Linked DNA regions of Cricetulus griseus. The protein of the gene in region 2 purifies or fractionates together with the protein of the main gene of each other region. This does not show direct contact. Links are inferred from orthologs where the notes say so. Each region holds a gene or a part of one and is shown on either strand. Other genes may lie near its edges.

Region 1 (3,997 bases), on a different chromosome or scaffold from region 2:
GGGAGGGGCCATAATAAGGGTATGCTCTCAAGATGCCTGTAATGTCGGGTGTCCGCCAAAGCACATAAACAAGAAAATAAACCAGGCAATACCCAAGCTGTAAGTACTCCAAAGAATTCAAAACAAAGCACAACAGCTAAGAGATGCTGGCTGTAGAAAAAGATAACTTTATGATATGATGGTCTGGCAGGCCCTTTCTCAAGAGTTAACAATGACATGAGACCTGAGAAAAGAGATAAGGGACCAGGCAAGAAAAGATCTGAAGGCAGTGCCAGGCAGGGGAAGGATTCCAGTGCAACAAATGCAAAAGCCTAGGAATAACTAGTTAGAACAGATCCACAGAGGATCTGAACTCTTGAGTCCCACATATTCTTCCTCACTGGCAGATGTTTCTGTGTTGATGCCAGTAGTAATTCAACAATCTTATGTACCATTTGGTCTCTGAAAATCAAAATGGCATGCCTCAGAACCTGTGTTTCAGAGCCAGTATTTACTACTTCAAACCTCTGCCCTGCCTCTGCCTTGGTAGCTATGAGGCTTGGGACAAGTTACACCACTCTCTAACAGTCAGTCACCATTTCTTAAATGTGCTAACAATCCTGTCTTCAGGGACTGCTGGGAAAATTAAATGTGATCATGTATAATGAAGTCTCTGGTGCACAGCAAGCAAGAATACATCTCCTCCGATCAGGGCAGGGCCGGTGTCTGCATAGCTACTTAGTCACTGTGTCCCCGCTGGAGTTCACACGAGAAAACACTGCAGCTGGGGAGGGTGAGGAGCGAGATGTTTCAACCTACAACAGATGTAAACACACCAGGCCAAGAGGACACAGACACAAAAGGGCATAGACACCAAGTGAACCATATTCGAGCTTTCAAACAAACACCAGCAAAGACTTTTGACCCAACCGCCTTGACTGACAGACCCTGAAATACACACAAGGTCAGATGCTACATCCTGATAGGGGAAGCAGGAGAGTAGGAATGCTGAGGACAGGATGGCCTCACAACAAACTCTAAAGCAGCCTTGCTGCCTGCCTTCCTGACTCTAGTCAGCCACCAAGCTTAGAAAAGTTAACAAGCTTGGTCCAGCTCACTTACTCTACAAAGATGGCTAAAACAAAACAGCAAAACCTGGTGATCTTGCAAGCTGAAGCAAAGATAAACAGCACACTTGCTTAGACTCTTCTCCAGTTCTGAAACAGGATATTTTCAAATTGAACTCACACATGGCAATCTGATGGAAGGGCCTCAAGAACTTTTATATTTCAAACTGGAAATGTCACTGCCTCGGCTGCCCTTACCATGACAGTGGCCCCTATCTTCTCTGCAAAGTGGGACAGCAAAGGCAGATGAGACTACCCCACAGATAAAATTAGCTTCTCCACTTAGAACTTTTGCTTGGCTTTTCTCAAGGAGGGTATCCTTTTATTTTTGAAGTAAACTTATGAAGTCTAGCCAAATGATTGAAGTATGAATAATTCTTCCATGGATTGTATTTCAAGCAATACAGTGAAGGAGTTACAGGGCAAGGTTCTTAAGATTAGCACCCATCTGACAAAGCAGTTCTTTCTTTATCAATAGGAACTGATGTCTCGGTTACTCATCTTGGGAATGTCAGGCTTTTTTTAACAACACTTGTGAGGGAGTCGGTGTTGGGCGCTGAGGGAGCTTTTGGCACGGTAAACTGTTTTCTTTATACTCAGGAGGCTTCCTGACACAGTCGGGTGGGCAAATGGGATGAGCCAGTGGGCTTCCCCGTGATTTAGAGGCCCCTTCCCACTCGGCCTTGCAGAGCCTCCTTCAGGCTCTCATCTCCACCAGGGGGAAACACAGCATGAGATAAATCAGCTTCAAACTGACCTTCTCTGGGCCAATGTACTTGCCATGGAGAGGTCGGTAGAACCTTGGGAGATAAGAGTCAAGGTTTAAGAGAGTTTCCGAACTCCGGGGCTCTACTTTTCCTGCCTAACTGCTGTAGGCAAAACCAGACACGGGTTACTCCTTCTCACTTGCCCTCAAGCGACTGTTACACCTCAGTCCTGCGATGCGCTGTCCCACAGCACCCGCTGCCTTTGCCAGCTGCACTCAGTGAGTTTCTACACCTGATCAAACTTTTTAAGTGGCAGTAGACTAGGCGGGTAAAGGAAGATGGGCTGCGAGCCGTCCCTCCCTCCTTTTGCCCTCCCCTCCCCGACTCAAGGGGAGCCACACAACCAACTATTCATTCTTTCTCAACAAAGGGAAGGCGAGGGGAGGGAGATGTTGTCAACGGTTACTGGGCAGACTCCTTCACTTTCTTTGCAAACTTCCCAAGAGATTAGTGGAGAAAGCCTCCGGCTTCCAGCAGAGTCCTCTGTGCCACCCCATCTCCCCAATATGGACCCGCCTCGGGCAGAACGAGACAGGACTGGGAAGGGGTCCGGAGGGGGGGGGGGGTTCTGGAGGCGAGCGCGCCCGGGACGGTATCGTCCCGGAGCCGAAGAGTGGAGATGCTGGAAGCACATCAGGGCGCTCCACTCCCGGGAGCTTCGGAATCCGACGACCCCGGAGGGCACGAGTCTGGCCACCTCCACCCCCCACTCCAAGTCTGTGGGGCTTCAGGGGGAGAACACGCGGGCTGCGCCCTGCCCCGAGCCTAACTTTGCTCTTAAGAACTTACCAGTGCGGTCTCGGGACGGCCAAGGGAGCCCGGGAGCCCGGGAGCCTGAGCAGGACCGCACCGGGCACACGCACCTCCCCGCGCGGCGCTCGGGTCCGGGTTGCGCTCAGCGCCGCTCTGCCCGCACCGCACCGCAGCAGCTCCGGGAGCGTGGGCGGCTCATGGTTCGCGGGCGTCCGCCGAGAGACCGGCGCGGCTGGTCGGTGCGCACGGCGTTCCGCTCCGGCTCCCGCCCGGCCCGGCGGCGGCAAGCAAGGCTCTGAGCTCGCGGCGCGCTCTCTGGCCCTCGACTGGTGATTTGCGGCTTGGCGGCCCCACCCCGCCCAGCGGATTCGTCGGGCTGGGCCGAACCCCCGCGACATTTACATTCGGTGAGCTGTCTGGCCCTCCTCGGCCCGGATTCGAGAGTTTTGACTCTCCGGAGAAGCAAATGTAGGTTGAACTCTTCCTTACGGAACCACACTCAACCAGCCAGCCTCACCTAATCCCCTCCTCCCCACTTCCCGGCGTTATTTAATTACCCAACAGATCTTCCGACACCTGGCTGGCTTTCAATTTAAAGGAATTTGATGGGACAAAGACGAGGTAACCACAGTGAACAAGCCAGGAAATAGGCAAATCAATCACTCTCACACGCGAACTTGGAAAGCCAAGTGGGTGGAGGTGCACATACTAGCAGTTATCAAACCTATTTATAAAGTCACACAAACACACACAGACAGACTAATGGACCAATGGACCAGAATCCAGGAACACATCTGCACTATCTGGTGGCTTGATTTATGTCAAAGTTATTGCCGAGGCTCACTGGGAGACAGTACAGTCCAATAAATGATGCTAGGTCATGGAGTCAGGGTACCTACCCCATACCACACCCCAAATAACATCCCGGTAGATGTTTTGATCCCCAAATCAAATCCTGATAGATTTTACAGTTAAATATAAAAGGTAAAACGGTGTAAAGAAATTATCAGAAAATACCTTGCTGTAAAGATTCCTTAAATACATGAACTATTAACTATAAAGGGGAACTGCTCATTGACATAATGGACATTAAGAGCTCCCATACCATGAATGAAAATGCAAATCACAGACAGAACATAAGCAATGCATACATCCAATAAAGGAAATGTATATAGAATATATAAAGAACACCTTTAGATCACATGAATAAGCCAGAAAGTTGGACTGAAAACAGGCAGGGTAATTTTATTTAGGCAGTGGCCTAGTTCACTTCTCTGTTGCTGTGATGAATGCTATGGCCAAGGGCAACTTGGGAGAGAAAACTGTTCATTTGGCTTACAAGCTGCAGTCCATCATCAAGAGAAGCCAAGG
Region 2 (3,202 bases):
GTTTTTGGGCCTTGAGGGACCAATCAGGATGGCTCCAGAACACCTTGGGGAATGGGCTTTCCTAGTGGCCATAGATGTGGCTCCATTCTATGTAGAAACATTCTGAGGAGACAGATGGTAGAGTCTAGATGACATAGGACAAGGGGAATAGGGAGGTAGGATGAGAATGACCTCTGAGAAGACACCTGCATGCCATTCCATTTGTAGACTAAGGGAAGGATTGTAGAATGACTGTACCCTCTACAAAGCTACCTTCCTGCACCAGACCCTTCCTGTAGGGGCTGCTTCCTTTACAAGCTGCCTCTTCTGGGCCTGGTGTGCCTACACTGCCACCTGGTGGTTCCCTGGCCCTTGCACCCATGGTACTTGCTGGTGCCTCTGTCCCAGAAGAGACTTCTCAGTCAGTGTTTTGTCTCTTCCCTGCAGGGGAAGGAGGAGTTTGAGAAGACACAGAAGGAGCTACTAGAAAAGGGGAACATAATGCGGCAGGGAAAAGGCCAACTGGAGCTGCAGCAGGTGAGGCTCCCAGTAGTCACCTTACGGTGAGACCCGACAGGAATAGAGAGCCCTGTTTGCCCTCCACCCAGCCAGTCACTATCCGGCATCGTAGCCATCACTGCCTTCTGACTAATTAATTTGGCTAATTAATTTGAGATGGCATTCTCACTCTGTTGCCCAGCCTCATCTTGAACTCTGCCTGAGCTCAGCTAACCCTCCCACTGTAGCCTCCTGAGTAGCTGTGACTGCAGCAATTGACTAGCATGCTTGAGACATCACAGGCATAGCAATAAAACACAAACGAAGTTACTGTCAGAGTAATGAGTCCGTTGTAGAGAGCACAGAGGCAGTGTAGGATTAGAAAGCACAGGCAGCCAGAGGCTGTACAGAAGCTGAGACAAGCCACTCCCCACTGGTCAGCTCCTCTCCACAAGCTGTGCCTCCCTGTGCCTGCCCGAGATGACACTGGTGAGCAGTCACACTCTGCCTCTGTCTGCAGCATTCCTCAGACTTAAAACTCTGTTCATAACTCCTTTTTATAGGCCACATAATGTCTATTGTTGAATGTTTACATTGTATCTAGTTTTCCATATAAATAATAGTGCTGTGTTCAGCCACAATTTTCTTCATATTTTAAATCATTTCCCAGGGTAAGAAAGTATTTTCGAAGGATACTAAAGATATTTGATTTTGATTGCGAAGATAACAGCACTAAATAAATATGAAAACTCTCGCTGTCCTTTCTCTGGGTATTGAGAAGGAAGGCAAAGGACAGCTTATCCCACCCTGAGATGGGTTATTCACTGGTTACCCTGACACCAGGTGGGGCTTACAGCTGGTAACTGCCTTACAGGTATGATGTTGGCAGTAAATGAGTAGTGTGTGAACTGCTTGGGAAGTGTGTGGCACATAAAAAGTGAAAGGAAACACAAGTTAACAATTAAAAATAAGCCGGGCATACTCCTGTAATTCCAGCACTCAGGAGGCAGAGGCAAAAGGATCATAAATTTGAGGCCAGCCAGGATATGTGGCAAACTATCCCTTCCCAGTAATAGCAGTTAAAATAGAAATGCACGTGTAGCTGTGGAGTGCCATTGTTTGAAGAAGTTGGTGTGCAGGCTATCTTTCCTGTGCAGTCTCCAGCTTGTCCTTAGCCAGTAATGCTGTCACTGACACTGGTGGTTTGCTTTCCTTTAGTGAGCATGCTCTGATGGTACAGATGTTTGCACATGTCTGTCAGCTGAGAGCCTAACCTTGTCATGCTTTCCACAGCTGAAACAGTTTGAGCGACTGGAGCAGGAGGTATCTCGTCCTATAGACCATGACCTGGCCAACTGGACACCAGCCCAGCCCCTGGTGCCAGGGCGGACAGGGGGCCTGGGGCCCTCAGACCGACAGCTGCTGCTCTTCTACTTGGAGCAGTGCGAGGCCAACCTGACCACACTGACAGATGCAGTAGATGCCTTCTTCACTGCAGTGGCCACCAACCAGCCACCCAAGATCTTTGTGGCACACAGCAAGTTTGTCATCCTCAGTGCACATAAGCTGGTGTTCATTGGGGACACACTGTCACGGCAGGCAAAGGCAGCTGATGTGCGCAGCCAGGTGACCCACTATAGCAACCTGCTGTGTGACCTCCTGCGAGGCATTGTGGCCACCACCAAGGCTGCTGCCTTGCAGTACCCATCACCCTCTGCTGCCCAGGACATGGTAGACAGGGTCAAGGAGCTGGGTCACAGCACTCAGCAGTTCCGCCGGGTCCTGGGCCAGCTGGCTGCTGCCTGAGAACAGAGGACTAGGGTATAGAGGCTGGGGAGTGGGCAGTGATGGTCCGAGCTACCCAAGCATCTGTCTTGAAAGTGAATATCCTGCAGGTTTGGGGACAGGTAACCCCAGCTCTGCCTTGGGCCTGGTGCCCTCAACTGTCCAGGGATTTGTACATATTTATAGCAAGGCAGGTGTGGGTTGCCTCCTCAGAGGAGCTGGACAAGAGTACACTGTGGACTGCTAATCACCAGGCTGGGGCCAGGGTGGAGGCACATGGGCCCCACCCGCAGAGCTCCCCGTGACAGGCAAGCACAGTGTGGTGTGCACCTCTGCACCAAGAAAAAAACCCTAAAGAACTATTTTTCACTATTGATTTTTTCCAATCATTTGACTAATAGTCTACATTTAATAAAATTTTAAAAATGAGAAGCAGCCTATAAAGATGTTTGAGACATCCTCTATGTGGGGAGGTAGATGTATCCTTGACCCACCAAAATGACTAGACATGGTGAAGATTCTGGGAGGGTAAAAGAAGAGTGGACCCTTCAGTAGAAAATCAATGCCCAGGGACCTGGGGAAAGGCAGGAGGGCTGGGCTGGCCTGGTGGGGAGATAATGTGGCAGTATCCTTTGTGCCAAGTGCACAGAGGCACTGCACAAAACAGCCTCACAGAACTCCAGTCTGGGACACCCAAAGTGTCTTCCTTGAATTAAAAGGGACTTGGCCTCCAAGCTAGAAAGACGGAGACCAAGAACAGGCTTGCTTGACCCAGGTTGCTGCTTGTGGGAGTTTAGTGTGTGTTTGGCACTCTACTGGCGGTCTCGTCTTTGACCATTGTGCATGTGAATGTGGGCCTCAGTTTCCCTGCCCATATAAAGAAGGAACTAGGACTAGGTGATCTGTCGCTAAGAAATCCGGCTGAGGGTACCTAGCCTCC

Evidence for each region. The genes of interacting proteins can lie anywhere in the genome.
Region 1: the proteins of Bcar1 (region 2) and breast cancer anti-estrogen resistance protein 3 homolog purify together in Homo sapiens (co-immunoprecipitation; 4 studies listed by BioGRID and IntAct, counting the BioPlex papers as one, with this or other methods). This does not show direct contact. The link is inferred for Cricetulus griseus from reciprocal best matches to the Homo sapiens genes BCAR1 and BCAR3.

What each region holds. Positions count from the first base shown.
Region 1 is NW_023276806.1:36,085,011-36,089,007, forward strand, and holds the start of breast cancer anti-estrogen resistance protein 3 homolog, read right to left. Parts: upstream 2,801-3,997; 5' UTR 2,663-2,800; intron 1-2,662. UniProt on the Homo sapiens protein: Acts as an adapter protein downstream of several growth factor receptors to promote cell proliferation, migration, and redistribution of actin fibers.
Region 2 is NC_048596.1:188,120,776-188,123,977, reverse strand, and holds the end of Bcar1 (breast cancer anti-estrogen resistance protein 1), read left to right. Parts: intron 1-426; coding exon 427-516; intron 517-1,770; coding exon 1,771-2,283; 3' UTR 2,284-2,702; downstream 2,703-3,202. UniProt on the Homo sapiens protein: Docking protein which plays a central coordinating role for tyrosine kinase-based signaling related to cell adhesion. Implicated in induction of cell migration and cell branching. Involved in the BCAR3-mediated inhibition of TGFB signaling.